4 linked regions of the Drosophila melanogaster genome follow. The protein of the gene in region 2 interacts with the protein of the main gene of each other region in a pairwise test. Each region holds a gene or a part of one and is shown on either strand. Other genes may lie near its edges. The genes, in order: CG30026, MESK2, Mic26-27 and CG15756.

Region 1 (3,512 bases), about 10 Mb from region 2:
GGCGCTGGCCAAGTTTGTTGATCTTATCCGGATTATGTATGAAGTTTTGGCCCCTCCTTTTCCCGACTTCTGCGAGAGCCAACAGCATCTCAAGGATTGCTTCCTTAATTTGGGCAATGTCTATACTTTGGATTAGCTAGGATTCTTTAATAATTGATTAAAACATTGTTTGGCTAATGAGTTTAATTTGCAAAAATATATAAAATAAAAATGCTGTAAAAAAACAGATTCCCATCTGAGGACATTATTGTTTATTTAAGGAGTGTTACTCAAGTTAATATGCAGATGGGAAAAATTCCATATCACCCTAGGCCTATTGTGCAAATAGAAGAAAGTGGGAAATCTTCTCTAATAGTTTCTAATTTTACAGCTTGTGAAAATGCAAACATTCATAATTTCATTAAACGTTGAATCGATTCAAGTCAATTTCCGAATAAGTCTAGAGCTATTTTTTGGAGCCATCTGGAGTTTGGTGGACAAACCAAGTTTTTGTCATGGTTAGTGTCTTAGCTAACTATAAAAAGTATATAAGCGACTTGTAACGTTCCTACGCTATAACAATTCTTGTGAAAACCTATTGTGAAATTGGTTTTATTTATGTATGTAGTAATTAATATTTCATAGCATTTTAAACAATATTTCAACATTAATTAACATGTATAAAAATGCATTTAAACCTTTTTTTTTAACTTTGTCTTAAGTTTTCGAGAGTAAATTACTAAAACCTTTTCTTTGTTCGACACCCAACGGATAACAATTGTTTTATTACAGAAATGTACAGTTCATATATAATTTCAATGTTACGCCACCTTTTAATGTTATTATTTAATAGACATAGAAATTCGGTGATATCCATCGAGCATAATCGTACCACGAACACCGTCCTCGGTGAATTTTACTGCATCCGGCGATTCTGTTTTGATCATAGTAGCAGCAGCGGTAACAAATTGTCGTCGGATGCCAACCCACTCCTGCAATTTGAAAATTACATAAATGATGCATTTGATGCATTTACCACACATACCATAACAATCACTTCTGTATTCCTGTTGATTTCGCAGATAACATTTTACTGCCGGATTGCCATTGTTCCAGATCCAGGGGTTTGTGGAAGAAACGGGAGGTATCCCTGAGGTCGAGGGCCGCATGTAGGGAGGTCTGTAAGTCGGATATATTGGATCGCCTTGTGTTGTGGAAGCTGTGGTGGTTTCTGTCGTTGTAGTTGTGGAGGTTTCTACTCCTGTAGTTGTGATGATTGCTGTTGTTGTTGATGGGATCTTCTTTGTTGTTAAAGTTGTAGTACTTGGTTCGGTTGTCGAAGTTGTGGATATTTCCGTTGTTGTAGTTGCGGCAGGCTCGGTTGTTGAGAATGTGGAACTGGTCTCAGTTGTTGTAGTTGTCAAGGATTCTGTTGTTGGCTCCTCTGTTATAGTGGTCGTTACTGGTGCCTCTGTGGTCGTCGTTGTTATAGAGGGCGGCGGTAGATAGATGGGAACTTCTGGCCTTGTATCCTGAGCCCACGTTGCAGTCGCGATGAAGAACACGCAAATAATAGCAGACTTCATTTTTAGCGTGCTGTGTTGACGTGAGCGGATTGAATCGAGTACTGAAACTGAGTAGCTTGTGCTTGGGTTTTAGCTACAGAGCTGCAGTCATTAACACACTTACACACAACCGACCCACACGCAAAAGGTGAGGGCTGATAACAGAACAGTAGAAGACAGAAAAACCCAACGCCAAGTAATTTCATAAAAATAAGATGCTGGCACTTAAAAATATTTGCTTGCGTAAATAAATGTTACTAAAAATTAATTACAAATATTGCTAACCAGAGCAAAGAAAAAACTGTTTTATTTCCGGTGCAAAAATATATATTTTTGAGAATTTCAAATTTGCCCGATTTGTTAATCATCCCATTGTTTTTAAAATTGCTCAACTTCTATAATAACTGGTTGCACAACTAATGTTCAAGCATTTTACTGTTTTTATTTCTGTTCCTGCTTAATTTCTTTTTACAATACTTGTTTCCAATTTACGTGCACTTTCAGTTGGCCATAATCATACGCCACACAAGGCCCTTGGTGGAGCTTACTACATTCGGTGATATGGCTGTCGTAGTAGTAGCAGCAGCGATAACAAGTGGCCCTCGGTGGGACTGGCCAGCCTGCAAATTGAAAAGCAAACAGATGAAATGTGATTCACCCAAGGTCCGGTCCCCTTTATTATCACATTATACCATCGCACTTACAAGTATTATACTTCATCTGATTTCTCAGAAAGCATCTTTCTATCGGTTGCATCCACACCCCAGGAATCTCGGTTGTCCGTGTGGGTTGCTCAAAGGGAGGCCTTTGTGTTGTTGAAGTCGTGATGGGTTTCGTTGTTGAAGTGGTTGTGGTGGGTTCCGTTGTTGTAGTTGTGGTGGATTTTGTTGTAGAGGTTCTTGTGGCATCTGTTGTTGTAGTTGTCGTGGGCTCCGTTGGCCTAACATCTTCTGGTATCTCTGGTATAACATCCTGAGCCCAAATGCCTCCCAACAGAAAACAAAATAGAAACAGTGAAATTACTTTGCCAAAATACATTTTATAGCAAACGGTGCTAACGGAAGCTGATTAGCTTAAATACTAAAACAGATCCCCAGCTTCGATGTTTAGCTAGTCTTTAGCTAGCAAAGAGCGGAGGACTGATAACAGAAACCAATCGACAGAGAGGCTTTAGATGCTCAAAACTACAAAATGAGCGGTTGAGCAAACACGCTGCTTTATTTTGAGCAGCGGGTTCGAAAAATGCTTATCAGAATTTAAGGTTAAAATGGCTTTTTGGATCGCTGCAATTACTTGCGGGTTGGTAAGCACGCATGCGCAACCTACCTTGTAACACTTTATAATTCGACTTTTCGTCTTTATAGGCTGGCAAATGAAGTGAATAGGAGTAGTTACAAATTATGGTTGAAAATAAAATTGTAATGTAAGAAGAGAAAAAAAGTTTTATTTCGGCGGTACTATTACCTGCAAAAAGGAGACAATTACAAAATTCGGTGGACTAATTTTACATTATGCGGCTATTGCTACAAACATTTTAGCGCCCTCTAGTGTTAGGTATTGACATTTAAAAATTCTTTATCCAAAAGAAAAAGGTTCGTTTCTCGGCTAATTGCGTGTAACATACATTTCTATATGTAGAAAATAAGTAAATTCAAATGGAAAGCAACCCGGCCAAATAATAGCATAAATAAATAATAAATAATAAGTCAAAGAATGTCGATTTTAATGAGTAAAAACGTGTCATATAGGGCCAGCCCGTATTTATTAATAAAATACTTATTAAGAATATTTTAGTGTTAATAAAAATATGTCCAAATATTTGCAGTTCTTTTATGATCGAATATGGCAATGGCTTAATTAAACGTCCTTTTCCTCCATGATGATAAAAATCAAACCTAAAAATAAATAACAGCTTAAAATACCGGTGGAATATTTAAAGAAAAATAAAAACACAAAAAGAGAACCAAA
Region 2 (5,068 bases):
TCACCTCGACCACACGAAATGGTATATGATATAATGGGCCTAGCGCCATATTTCTACATATATATGTACATATAATGTAGTAATGTATAATGTACTATAGGCTTATTGGTGGCAAGCGATTTATCAGCGGCATCTGGGCCACTTCAATTCCAATAATTGCAGCCCAGCGTGTGCCATTTATGGCGAATTATTCATAATTGCGATTGCACGTGAAGAGTGCAGAGGAGGAGCTTGAGGTGCAAGCAGCGTGGAGCCATTGAAATTAGCCATCGGCTAGAGTGGGACGGCGACAGGCGAACGACGTGCCCTGGCTTTTCCGTTTTTCCGGCCCGGAGCGAAAGGAGCGCACGGAATATCGACAATTTGGCAGGTCGCCCACGGCAACCGTTGGCAGGTCAACGGGCAACAACAAACCGAAGCTCAAGACAGCAATCTGAACTCAATCTACTGCTGAACTGTGTACTTGATTGGGATTCAATGCTACTTCGGATTTACCGACTCAGAAGACTAAATAATTACGATTTTTTTTCTTCTGAGAACAAAAGTGATTTACATAATCCTTGAGCTTTTGATTTGCTTTAAATGTATCTTTTTCTACTTAGACGTGAAAAGAGATAATTTTAAAGGAAGTCTGCTGTAGTTACATACATAATTCATTGTTAAATTATCATTTAATACGTTTAATGGCTCTTGTTTTTTGTAAGATCTTTCAGTGTTCGATTTCCTTGGAAGGTGGCTAACAACAAGTTCTCTGCTGCCCCTAAAAATACTTGCTCAACTATTGTATTGACTGCAATTTGTCCGAGTCCTTCAAGGATATCGCCTCCGATGTGGGAGGGGGTACAAATTTGCAAAACAGAAATTATTCAAATGTTCTTTGGGGGGCGGAGAGACAAGATACCCCATCGGTAGGGGGCGTGGCAGGGGTTCTGGGGCACCGACAACGGCAGCAAATCACATACAGGAAATGTCACGCTATGTCAAGCCGCAGGCCAGCAGGAAAAAAAATCGTACAGCCGAAACGAACCAAATCACACGCTCAACGTCAGAGCGTGTTGTTGCAGGATATGGGAGAATATCAGTTGGGTAGGTGGGAGGCTAGGGGCGTGGCACGGTGGGGCAATGAGGGGCGGCGCAGGTTGCCCTACTGTTACGTGTTTGCAATCGATTTGAAAGTTACATAAAAACAGAGCCGCAGCAGACCAAGGGCAGAAAAGGGAGAAGGTGCCAGGGAAGTTGGTAAACACCTGAGTGGCCAACAAGAGCGTCAACAACAACAACAACAAGAACAACAACAGGAGCAGCAACAAGGCGCCAAAAGCAATTTGTGCGGCGAACTTTTTATTGTGTTTGCCTTCTGAGTAAACTGACCTACGCATTAAACATGCAGGAAAGTTAAACATCAGATATAGATACGTATACATACATGTATGTACTGGACTCAGATACTCAGGAGGACGAGACGAAATCCTGTCCATGGCGATGGCGCCGACAGGTTACAGTAGAGCCGTTAAAGTGGAGTCCTCACCCATTCATTTCCACACCCAAAAACCGCTAGAAGCAATAAAATTTCACAAAACAGCGAATAACAAATGTCTGCAGGAACAGTAAACACTGCCAATAGGTAAACCAATTAGGGCAACTATTAGAGATAACAGTCAAGTCGCTTTTAATGAACAACCCCATTATTCCATTTCGCTTTTCCTTTGTTTAGTTAGGAAAATTGGTCGACTATTGTCTAGAAAATCAACTCGAAGTTGATTTGAGGTTTTTTTGCGAATTGCCTAGATCGTCAAATTTCTTATTTAACTTAATTGCAATTCAGAATATGGAAAAAAGGTGTAGGAATCAAGGAAACCTACTAATTTAGAATCCCAGGACAACATGCAACCGCACTTTTTTTTACTGGCATAACTTGGTTTTCAGCACACAGGCTTCACTGTGGCAGCTGCTGAAATGATTGCGGCGAAGTTTTCTGGAGGTCGTTTAGAGTGGAAAAGCGCCAGCTCCGAGAGAGGGAGAGCGATAAAGAGGAAGAGAGACGGAATGGAGCGAAGGGGAGGGCAGCAGGGGTCCATTACGTCAGAGCCAGAAGCCATTTGGGTTTTGTCAAAAATTAGCAGTTAGGAAAAGCGAGGAAAACCCAAACGAAACCAAAGCCAAACATACACAAAAAAAAAACGAATAACGAATAAAAACGAACATCATAAATGGATGAATTAGTACAGATATGGCGAGCAACAAGAACAACAACGACAAAAACGTGCATACAACAACTAACTGTTAACTAAGTAAAAAGAAGAGTGCGCAAAATATACAATAGTGCTAATTGAAAAACAGATACTGGGATGCAAATGAAAAGTTTTAGATGAGGCAGTGTGTTTTCTTTTCTTTTTAATGGGGGCGAGCGCAGAGAGAGAGAGACAGGATAAGACAGAGAGAGAGAGAGAGAGAGAGAGAGGGAAGAGTAATAGATAACTGCAACAAAACAAATGCAAGCGGAGCGAGAGGGAGGGGAGTAGGATTAGAACTGGTTAATGTTATCTTCCAGACCCGCCCCTCTCTTTCACACCTTTCCAATTGGCATTTGTTTTGTTGTCTGTTTGGCACTTGTATGTATGTTAATTGTGCCCGTTGTGTGCGGTAGTGTAGGTGTGAGTGCAGGTGTGTGCGTGGTTGGATTTAAAAAACTCACCTGACGCTTTCCGTTGCTTTTTCTTCTATTCTTTTGTAGGCCTCAAAATTGAGATAAAAACTACTACCGCTTTTTACCAACGCCTTCTTTTTGGCTAACAAAAAGAGACCGTTGTTTTAACTGCACTGTCTATGAAAAAATCAATATTCGGTCTCGACCAACTTTTTTCTTCACCTTTTCTTTTACAACTTGTGTAATTTCTGTGCTCGTTCTGTTTCATTCACTTATTCTCTCGCTCTCGCGCGCACGCACACACACACACACGCCCGCTGTTCGCGATTGCCAGTAATTTTCGGGGATCAATTTCTTGTAATTTCTCCAGCTGCTTTCAAGTCTTTAATTCTCGGTCTCGATGCAGCGCAAAGCAAATTTGATAGTGATGGGGAGAAACATCGATGCATCGGGAATCGATGTTTTCATATAGGTGCTATCGAGCTAGCCGATATTTTAGAAATAGTATCGCCGACCAGCGATACATCGTCGCTTATCAAAACATCGGATTCTTAAATATTTTTGACTTAAAAATGTAAATGTTACTTATTATTGGTGTCTAAAACCTTTACATTTCTTTAAAAAGGTATTTTACGATGCTTTTTTTTTCAATGTTACATTTTTGCACTTCCAATGTAATGTAATAGATAATCCAAAACCTATATTATTTTAATATATTGTGAATATTTTGCTTGTAATGCTCATAACAGCAAGCATGCGGTTGGGTAGACATAAATACCCATCACTAATCAGCTGTTTCTTGCGTCCAGAGGAAACGTCGTGCGTTTGGCGTTTGATTGAGTCAAATTCAATTTGTTAACTAAATTCTTTCGTGCAGAACTGGATAGCTGATCGAAGAAATCCGTAAGCCAGGCTCACATGCATCAAAACACATCGGCCAGCTAGCAAAATCCGATTTCTTATTTATACTCCAATTACAGACATGCCGCGACGCTATCAAACAGCTCTCAATTCGGCCAAATACAGTGCCCAGGTCAAGACCAAAACTAGTGACAACGAATCCGATTCCGAAGATGATCTTCCGCCGGATCAAGATGCTGAGGATAACAATGAGCCAGATAATCTGCGCAGCATTTTGGAAAATGCGCCGCACTTCTCTTATCCCGGCTTGAACACTGGAATGTTGGGCCAACTCTTGTACGATCATCAGGATAATCCGAAGCAGGACTTGCCAAATTGCTCGGTTACGGTGCCGCTACCCCTCTTCCTGGCAAAGGATGGACAAACTCCCCGAGTGGAGGCATGCGTCCAAAGGCCATTCCGCTACGACGATTGGACACGGCAATTGCAATTAGGCAAGGCTATATTTGATAGGCGACTTAAAAATATGAGACAGCGTGTACAGAAGCAGGAGCAAGGTGTACACGATGCCAGTCTGTTTGAGATGGCTGAGCACATAGCCCAACAGGAGAATTCCTTCTTCAGGGACAGCTACGATTACTACTACACAGGCGGAAACCTAAACACGATTCCGTTTGATGGAAACGATCAGCTGGCCATGCATGTCAGCGGTAATAAGCTCAGAGATTTGCACTTTTCCCGAGATTATGGTGAGGCGGAGTTTTGGCAACCATTGCATTCGGCTACGATAGAGGAATCCTCCAGCGAAGTCTTTGAACTTCTTCCGCTCCACAATTTAAATCGCAGTCAAATGTTCCTGGCACGGTTGCTGAAGGAGGTTTCCCTATACGAACTTAAATGCAAAGACGAACAGGATTCGGATTCAGATTACGAACTCATTCGCCATTGCATGTTTAGCAGTCAAGTAGCTCCTTTTACAAGCGCTGCACAATCATTGGCCAATGCCAATACATTGGCCTTAGCTAGCCAGGATAGGTCTTTGCGCTTCGTGGATATTTCGACACAACAGGATATAGCCAAGCTTGATGTTTGCTTGCTAAAAGGACTGAAGAAAACCTCGAGTACCTGGGCACAGTTAAAGCAAGCAGAGGAAAGCACCTTTCACTGCCTAACACAGCCAGTTTTGTTTACCGTAGATGTGCGATGCAATCTGCCTCTGAATCCCTGCTTTGCCAGCGGCGTTCACTCAAAAGCTTGCGAGAGGTTCTCTTGTTTGGCCAAGGGTGTGAATCCTAATCTCTTGTATGTGGCTAGTAATCACAACTTCCACTGTTTGGATATCAGATGCTTGGGTAAAAAGCTGACCGATCGAGCTGTCGTCACCTGGACGCATCAGATGACCTATCCACCCTGTTTTATTGACACAAGCGTTCACCAGGACAGTGAATATATTGCGTTAGGTGGACTCTTACCCAAAGATTTGCGAATTTGTGAACTGCAAGGAGCTCAGGCAAAAAGTGTCGATGAAATGTTCTCGCCGGCAATACCATTTGCGCCGGT
Region 3 (5,153 bases), on a different chromosome or scaffold from region 2:
CGCACCTCCTTCTTTGGATTCTCGAGCACCCACCGTTGCGGTGGCGCTTTGATCAACGAGAACTGGATAGCCACCGCCGGACATTGCGTGGACGAGTGAGTGGATCAGCCCAAAACCGGACTAGATCCAGATCCAGATCGAGCTAATCCCTGCCCCTCTTCCATTTGCAGCCTGCTCATCTCGCAGATACGCATCCGCGTGGGCGAGTACGACTTCTCGCATGTGCAGGAACAGCTGCCCTACATAGAGCGCGGGGTGGCCAAGAAGGTGGTGCATCCCAAGTATAGCTTCCTCACGTACGAATACGACCTGGCGCTGGTCAAGCTGGAGCAGCCGCTCGAATTCGCGCCGCATGTCAGTCCCATTTGCCTGCCCGAGACGGACAGCCTCCTAATTGGCATGAACGCCACGGTCACCGGCTGGGGTCGTCTCAGCGAGGGCGGCACCCTGCCCTCCGTCCTCCAAGAGGTGAGTGTTAACACGACTTTAAGCTTCATTTTTAGAATTCAGCGACAATGATAACCGCTGCGAATCGAACGCAAAAAATTGTCGGTGTGGTTCTAAATGGGGCGATTGCAATTAGGAAAAGTCAGAGAGATCATAAAAGGGATTTCCAACGTGAATCAAAAGATATATATCATAAATCTAAAAATAAAGTTAAATGCAAGACACAAATGTAATCTAATACATTTTAATAGGTCTCCGTGCCGATTGTAAGTAACGATAATTGCAAATCGATGTTCATGCGAGCTGGTCGCCAGGAGTTCATTCCGGATATATTCCTGTGCGCGGGCTATGAAACGGGAGGGCAGGACTCCTGTCAGGGCGATTCAGGAGGTCCACTGCAGGTGAGATGCCGGATAAAGCAAACCTACGAGATATATGCTAATAAACATTTTGCAGGCCAAGTCGCAGGATGGGCGCTTCTTTCTGGCCGGGATCATCTCCTGGGGCATTGGCTGTGCCGAGGCCAATTTGCCCGGAGTCTGTACGAGAATCTCCAAGTTTACGCCGTGGATACTGGAGCATGTCAGATGATGATCAGAAGATACTGACGACGGCAGATCTACTTTTGTTATTTGTTTTAATTTATCAGTTGTATCTATAAGTTTTGTGTGATTTATCTTAAAGGAATGTTAAGCGTAGTTAGCTTCAATTTAACAATTTTAACATCATGGCCTTGTGGGCCACTGCCACGCCCCTATCCGCACTCACCCATTCACCTACACACACACACACACAGTCAACGCCCACTAATTTAGTCTAGCGAAATGTTAGCACCGTAAGTTGTCTAACAAGGAAATCGGTCGGATTTCGAATGGGATTATCTATTTGTACATAGCCGAAGGGATAGGGGGCTTGGGAGGGGTAGGGGGGATTGGGAGTCATTTGCATGTCCACAAGTTGTTGGTATTTTAGTGTAGTAATATTTAACAATTAACTAAATCTATATTTATTGTAAACAAATGCATGCAGACATCCGAACGTTGTTTGTATCTTGCCCAAAGAACAAGTCTATCTATAGCGATGCGAAAGCTCGAGAGCAATAAAAGATTAATGAAAATATTGTCTAATAAATAATGCCGCAATCGGAGAATTGGTCCGCTCGAGATACCCATCGCTATAAGAGCCGATTTCCTCCTCAGCAATAGCAGCCCCCGAGGGCACCGCAAATGGATGGCCAAGACCATTCACACAATTTGTAGTCATCGCCATGTTCGGCTGCGGGCCATGGTCATTGACGATGATGATTGGCACAATCGGTTTTGCACGTGGGGAGATGGAGGATGGGAGACATCCGCAGCCGACACTTTCCTCCGGATTTCACTTTTCAACAGCTCACTGGCGTGACATTTGACTTGACACCAACACCTCAATTAATCACTCGAAGATTCATGTGAGAGCGGGTTCTGGCCACGGCCCACACACATTTGCCAAGTTAAACCGCCGTTTCACTTTTGGGACGCGAGGCCAATTTATTTCTGGCAACAAGAAAAGAGATAACTACTTTCGGATAGAATTCAAGCTTCATACAACTTAAATCGATGCACACTTTTCGCCCGGATGGAGGTGGACTAGGAGTTTCCTTTAGCGGGAGGGCACTTCCTACTTCTTTTTGGGGAAGATTAGATCCTTTGCCTCATCGTACAGGTCACTGGCCATGTACTTAAGGTCCTCCAGCGAGGTAGGGAAGGGCACTACGGGAACATCCTCTCCTGGCTTTACGCCCTTGATGAAGTTGTAGGCCACGGCGAAGATCTTACGGCCCTCGTAGAGTACCACGCGGCAGTTTTCTTCCGCCTGGCGGGGGTAGCACATGGAGGCGACTGCACCTGCTCCGATGCCCGAATACAACACCTTCTTTATGAAGCCTCCACGGGCGGCGAAGATGAAACCAGCCAGACCGCCCACCACAATGGCTCCGCTGCGGTGCAGGGAGTTCTGGGGCTCGTTCAGCATGTCGATGGTGGACTGGGTGTGTGCCTTAGCGGTTTCCACGTAATGGCCGACAATGCCGGCTTGATCGGCCACTGCCTTATATCCAGACTGCACCTCCTCGCGCACATAGCGGACTCCGGCCTCCAGGTTCTTGTGCAGCACAGAGTCTTGTGGTGGATGCCGTTCTGGCTTGGGTCTGCGGTAGCATTAAAGGAGTATCGTTAAGGCTGGGACCTTTTTCTTGCATTGGGGCACTCACTCTGTCTTGCGCAAGCTGCCGTAGATGGGCAGCTCGCTGGGCCGGCACACCAGGCTGCAGTCCGCCGCACTGGAGGCTGGTTTCTGGGGCTCGGGAGCCGCTTTAACGGCAACCGCCGCCATGATTCCCATCGTTGCCGTTTTGCGCAGCATCTCGAAGTGGTCAGGAGCTGGTTAAAGTGCCTCGCTGGGTCGATCGGAGTGTGTGTACACACGGAATTTGGCCAACTGTTTGGTAAATTGCTTGTTTTACATCAGTTGTTAGACATTGCGTAATTTGTCACAGCACGGTTCGACTGAATGACGCATGACGACGAATGAAAGCAGTGGGTGATTCGTGCAACAGATGTTCACAGCTGTCACGTGTGAGGGTGGTCACGATATATCGGTATTGCTATTAGATTAATTTGTAAGGTCATCTATTTTCTGCATTTGATGATATAAACGAATGAAATCATTAAATTTTTTTGCTTCAAATCCGATTTTTTAAATGCCATCCACCGTTTATTTTCTATTGACACGATTTTAAGCGATATGTAACAAAGCAGTTCGATGTATCGCATCATAATCATCGTAGAATGGAACTAGTTTACCGTTCTACCGTTTTCCCAGTTCGTGACTCTGGTCACTTTCCACAAGACGCGAATTTTATTCACCAGTAAGAACAAAAATATGCAAACTCAAGCCCACTGATAAGCGGACCAGCAATCTTCAATGAAATCACTACTTTTAAATAATCCGCCATCGACCATTTGCAAGCGCGCGTTAAGCGGAGCCAACGCACTCGCCCACGCCCACCCCCTTGTCACCTGTCCGTTGGCCGCCCACCCAAATCGGTCGTCGGTCCGTTAATGTTATCAGTTCAGCAGCGGAGGCAGCAACAACGTCGAGTGGGCGCGCACAAAAGGCCACCCATCGCTCAAGGACGAGGCGTAGGCAGAGGTAGTGCCAGCCAAGGCCAAATGGGCTTATAAATAAATGAAGGGCCCCCAGTTAAAGGCAATATTTATTGACTTTTGCAGCAGGTTCAATCCGTTGCAGTTGCAGCAGAAGCGGTAGAGGCGCAGGCAGCGACGTAACCGCACAACGTGCGCCGAATACGAAATCTTTTTTTGGGGCCATGCCACGAGCCACGAACGGCTGACAGGAAATCGTGGCCAACGACGAAGAAATCCACACTTCTTCACTGTGAGCAATTGAAACTCTAGTCAATAGTTCATATGGATGCTACCGCAAGTTCAAAGTTCAGGTGAGCATTCAGTTATATAGTAATTATTTTCACTTACGCATATCTTTACGCATCTAAACCGCACGTGGTTAGCGATGTGGACGAATATGGCTTCAAGCGTGGCGACCACTTCGACTATAACAACTACTCAAAGTTCATGGATGGTTACCTGAAAACGTTAACGCGGCGCCGCATGAAATGGGAGGCCATTCTGCAGCAAAATACCGATCTCACCCAGGTGGACGCCAAGCTGAAGCGGTACATTCGGAAGGGCATTCCTGGTCCATACCGTCCCGACGTCTGGATGAAGATATCTGGAGCTGCCGCCGCCCAGCGTCGCTCGCCGGATCTCTTTCGCAACCTTCTGCGCACCGAGCCCTTCGACAAAGAAATCAGCGATTCCATATCAATCGATCTACCTCGTACCTTCCCCGACAATATTCACTTCGATATGAAGAAGCAGCGGTTGTACAACATTCTCATCGCCTACGCCCATCACAATCGGGACGTGGGTTACTGCCAAGGTCTTAACTACATAGCCGGCCTCCTGTTGATCGTCACCGACGATGAGGAGAAGTCCTTTTGGCTGCTCAAGCATATCGTTGAAAACATCGTGCCGCAATACCATTCCCATAATATGGCCAATCTGCTGAGGGATCTGGCCGTGTTCCGCGAATTGGTCATCCGGCGAATTCCCGCTGTAAATCGGCATGTGGATAACTTGGGTAAGATTTAGTTTAAAGAACTAAGTCCGTAACCAGTTGCTAACATATTTTTTATTCCAGGCCTGCCCTATCCGGTGATCGCCAGCAAATGGTTCATCTGCATCTTTGCCGAGGTGCTGCCCGTGGAGACTGTGCTACGTATATGGGACTGTGTCTTTGCCGAGGGCTACAAGATCGTTTTTCGTGCCGCCCTAACCATGTTCGTCACTCACAAGAACGCCATTCTGGGCTGTGATGATATTGCTGCCCTGGCCAATCTATTCCGGGATACCATGATCCAGGACAACATTGTGACGGACTGTCATGGCTTTGTTGAGGCCATGTTCAGTCTGCGTTTGAAGAGAAGCGAGCTAGAGAGCCTACGCAAGGTGGCCGTGCTTAATCCGGCCTAAGGAGCCAGTGTGGAAAGGGCTCTATGACCAATAGATCAAACAACAGCAACAAAACCAAAAACAAATTGGAGAAGCAATCGAAAATTCAATTATTAGGAGCGTAGTTCAGCC
Region 4 (4,248 bases), on a different chromosome or scaffold from region 2:
CTTTTCACCAGTACGGCCACCCAATTTGGGGCGTTTTTCCAGAAACCATTTAAATTGAAACCGGGCAAAGGCAGCAGCGCACCAAAGGCATCACAAAAGACAGCCGGCAGGCAGCTGGCAAATTGAGGCTCGAATGTGTTTTTGTCAGACGCCTCATAATGTCTCATCTTTTGGCCATCATCACACACACACACACACACACACACGGTGCTTTTGGTCTTTGGCCCCTTTGGGCCATTGAAAATGGCTATGACACCTCTCTAAACTATTTGAAATTGCTTCAATGTACCTCGTTTCGGTGTCTGAACACGATGTAATTTCGTAGCAATACACTAGCAAGACAATTCTCGCTTTTTAAAAATAACTTTTTATGAGTCATTTACATTGGTAAAGGACTAAATATGTTCAATGTTAAAGAGAGAATTAAAGATATTAATCCGTTGAATAGCAGTATGCCACTCTTTCTCCTCTTTGAAAGTGCGTCTATGTTATTAGTTGCAAGCTTGATTTAAAAGCCACTTCAAGTTTATATCCTACATTTATTATTTATTTTTATTAAATATTGAAAAAAAAAAGAATACCATCTCACACACAGAGTGAGGCAAACAGAAAACATAGAAAGCGACCTAAAAGGAGCTGTCAAGCGAGCAATTGAGACACATTCCCCTTAGAATTCCAAGATGAAGATGACGATGGAGTTAAGTGGAGTCGACTTGACTTCTCCTCCAGCTCCTGCTCATCCTGCTGCATGGTATATGGGGACTACTGGCCAACTCAACTGTGTCGGACTGGTGACTGCAACAATTGTTTTCAATTTGATTTGCAGCAAGTAGAGCGAGCTGCGAGGCAGCCAAGTGTGTGCCAGTTCCCCTGCCAGTCTCAATCTCCATTCTCTGTATGCCGAAATGTCCTCTAATGTTCGGGCTTTCAGTTTGAGGCGCCTTCATCATCATCAACATCGTCATCCCCATCCTCATCGCCATCGTCATCGTGATCATCATCATGGCTGTCGGCTGGTGCTCCAGTTGCCAAAATGTCGTTGGCCAAAGTTGATGGTTCGGTTTCGGTTTCGACTTGGTTTACAGCCTGCAGCAAAGGGGGCAAATGCACAGTGGAAAATTGAATTAAGCATGGCCTACATGAGTTGTATAAGTAAATCACGATTTATCATGATTATTCGACAATTTTAAAATGTGTAGCTGACAGTTCCCATTAAATACATGTAGTTGTAAAACTGTTACCAGTTTAATTTTAAATATTAAGGTTAGTTTCAAAGTATTTAAGGTTATACTTTAGTTTCGTTAGGTTATCCCCTTTGAAACATTTTCCCTGTGTACTCATATGATGGGGGCCCTGAAAATCGCCGAGGAAAGCTAACCCCCGGTGGCACTTACATTAGGAACCAGCTCGGTGCCAGCATCACTTGCGTCCACATCCACATCCACATCCTCAGCCTCATTCACTTCCACTTCCACAGGCAGCTCGTTACGCTCCGGGTCGCTTATTGAATTTCGCTTAGTCCCCGTACCCGTGGCTATTCCGGTGCCCATTCCCATTCCCGATCCCACATCCCTTTCCACTCCGGGCACTTCCAGGCTGCGCGGCAATAGCGGCTGCTCTACGGATAATGTCTCTGCATTTTGGATAAATTCATTAGCGGTTTTGAATGTGAATGGACCTTGGGGCAATGGAACTCACGCATGTCCACATGGTAGCCACGATGATCGGCGGTGTAGAACACCGTGGAGTACTTGTCGTTTGGCAGTGGCACCGAATAGTATCCCTTCTTGGCCAGAACGAGATCCTTGCCCACGGGCAGCCAGTAGGCGCGCTCATATCGCGTGTTGCCATTATCCAGCTGATATCTGTGTGATAAATATATATATATAAGCACTCGAAGTTCTATAGAGTTCTAATATACCTTACCTGAACTCGTACTGCCCGTCCAGTGATCTCTGATCGAAGCTATCGACGAGACGGGGACTGGTCTCCGTGTGACTTGGCTTCTGCACCACAACCACTGGTGGCTGTGGTTGAGGCTGTGGCGGTGGTGCCACCAATGGTGGCCAGTGGTGCACATGCTGATGACGATCCGGATTCGCGGTGGTTATGCTTGTGGTGCTCCTTGGCGTGGTGGTACGCCTGGGTCTGCGAGTCCAGCGTGCATCCACGGGCTGAAGGAGCAGTAGGATGGCCAGGGTGACCATCAGAGAACTGACACCCAGCCCAGCATAGATCTGCTTGAAATGTTGGAACATGTTGCACACAGAATTCAATAATTGATTATGTGGCATTGGGGCGAAACGCTGGCTTTTATATACCCGTGGCCAGCGAAAGAGACGCAGACCACTCGAGTGAAGTCTTTCGGCACTAAAGATGAAAAATGTCCATGCGAAAAGCAGGAACAAGAAAGTGGCAAATGAAGAAAGGCCGACAACAGGCTGGTTCTGAAGTATAATAAACCCCTCTTTTGCCCAAATGATTTGGCAATGGCTTTGGTGGTCAACACCCACACTCCTTTATTTTTCTTCCTTATCAGACGGCTCTTCAGAACCAGAGCTGCCCGATGTGGCTACACTTTCTTGCCACCAAAACTGGCTGTATTTCATATAAATATGAAGTGTTTATCAAGACAGTACTATACCATATACTAAATTTAAAATATATCAGTAGTTGCCCATATATAGCATACATATATATATATAACTAGAGTTTTGAAGCCAAAATTCGAGAATAGATTGCCATATATTTTCTAGCTATATTGAGAAAATCCATATTCTGGAACTTGGCCACAGCACTAACAAGGGCAATACAGAAAATTCATTCATAATAATTACTCTGGCGTTTGTTCTGCCTTTGTGCTCTGTGGTTAACCCTTTAGAGGCGTCTCTTTATTCCCCTCGAGAAACATACATCTCTGACCACCAATCTCTTCCCCCCCCTCGAGAACGAGAACGATTCTTTTGTCGGGCTTTTTGGGTTTTTGTGAGGCGTCACGGTGGCTTTTGTGATTTTGACAGCGTTTTTGGGCCGACGCGTCAGATCCTTCGGCCTGTTTACTCCGTTTGTTTGTTTGATTATTTGTTTGTTGCGCCGGCCGCCGACCGAAGTGTGTCAGGCCCAGATGCAGGACGACTCATACCGATCCCGATTCCGATTCCGATTCTGATCCCCAACTGACTTCCATCGACATGGTTCATTGACCAGTCGCGTCATCGTCCCACATTGCTATCGACTTGGCCCATCTTTCCGATACCCCCTTTTTGGATCCGGGAGGCTTTTTTTTCCATTTGGTCATCGATTTGGTTGCCCAGTGTGGGCGTCTCCATCTGCCCCTAATTGCTTAACCCTTGGGTACGAGTGATGTGATAAATGCCAGACTTCAGACTCCAGACTCCGGGCTCCGGACTCCGGACATCAGCTGGTATTCATCGCATCCGCTGGGTTGGATATTTATGTCTTTCTCGGCTTTTGTTTGTGATGACATTAATTTGACAGAGATATGAGGCAGATTGTTTAATAGTGCCTAGTATGTGCTAAATTTTCCATATCATCTTTATAGTATATATACAAAATAACATTGCTTTATTTATTTTAGCATTTATGTATATCTATACAGTCCGGTTTGGTAGGAAACTCTTTTTTTTATTTTTTAATAAAAGTAACAAACAAAACAAACACTTCAAATCGCGTAGATTTGGTTTGCTTGTGATGATTAATGTTTTGCCAAATGACATTTAATTGATAAATGAAACAAAATGAATCTGTTAATAAATTGCGGCATAATTAATGATCAAACTAATAAAGCAAATTTTTGCAATATAGAAATCTTTGATCGATCGTTGGCACATCATATATTGGACTAAGTCAGATTACTCCCGGCGTATGGAAGGAGGTGGCAAAAAGCACAGCAGTCAACCAAGGGTTAAGACCATCAATTTGGCTGATTAAATTCTCGAGAGTCCGTCAAACCGCATGCGTAATTAATAAATGTAAGAATTTATGAGGAAACACTTCCCCCACTTTTCGCACCCTTTATTATCTTCATTTTGTTTTTTACTCATTTCTTGACATCTGAGACTATCAAGGTGTATTAAGGTGCCGGACTAACGGACGCCGATCTTATCGCATTCGTTTGAGTTTTAATGGCAGGGACTTAAGATATTTCGCATGTAAATGCCAAAGGCATCGTAAAAAGGAGTTCGAATGTGCAGTTGAAATTCGGAGCGATGCGCACAACAAACTAAT

The links.
Region 1: the proteins of MESK2 (region 2) and CG30026 interact in a two-hybrid assay, tested with the Drosophila melanogaster proteins (one large-scale study listed by BioGRID).
Region 3: the proteins of MESK2 (region 2) and Mic26-27 interact in a two-hybrid assay, tested with the Drosophila melanogaster proteins (one large-scale study listed by BioGRID).
Region 4: the proteins of MESK2 (region 2) and CG15756 interact in a two-hybrid assay, tested with the Drosophila melanogaster proteins (one large-scale study listed by BioGRID).

Annotation. Positions count from the first base shown.
Region 1 is NT_033778.4:11,407,842-11,411,353, forward strand, and holds CG30026 (uncharacterized protein), read right to left. Parts: upstream 1,609-3,512; 5' UTR 1,566-1,608; coding exon 1,025-1,565; intron 972-1,024; coding exon 826-971; 3' UTR 735-825; downstream 1-734. Other genes in the region: Smyd4-3 (SET and MYND domain containing, class 4, member 3), read left to right, coding at 1-136; CG34054 (uncharacterized protein), read right to left, coding at 2,013-2,164, 2,249-2,582.
Region 2 is NT_033778.4:21,500,107-21,505,174, reverse strand, and holds the start of MESK2 (misexpression suppressor of KSR 2), read right to left. Parts: upstream 3,079-5,068; 5' UTR 2,696-3,078; intron 1-2,695. Other genes in the region: TAF1C-like (TATA box-binding protein-associated factor RNA polymerase I subunit C-like), read left to right, coding at 3,630-5,068.
Region 3 is NT_033777.3:16,143,725-16,148,877, forward strand, and holds Mic26-27 (MICOS subunit 26/27), read right to left. Parts: upstream 3,132-5,153; 5' UTR 2,851-3,131; coding exon 2,699-2,850; intron 2,636-2,698; coding exon 2,107-2,635; 3' UTR 1,039-2,106; coding exon of another isoform or gene 904-1,038; 3' UTR 849-903; coding exon of another isoform or gene 699-848; 3' UTR 677-698; downstream 1-676. Other genes in the region: Sb (stubble), read left to right, coding at 1-95, 171-468, 699-848, 904-1,038; CG5916 (uncharacterized protein), read left to right, coding at 3,918-3,946, 4,019-4,650, 4,711-5,042.
Region 4 is NC_004354.4:13,532,483-13,536,730, reverse strand, and holds CG15756 (uncharacterized protein), read right to left. Parts: upstream 2,332-4,248; 5' UTR 2,259-2,331; coding exon 1,927-2,258; intron 1,866-1,926; coding exon 1,699-1,865; intron 1,634-1,698; coding exon 1,395-1,633; intron 1,087-1,394; coding exon 928-1,086; 3' UTR 529-927; downstream 1-528.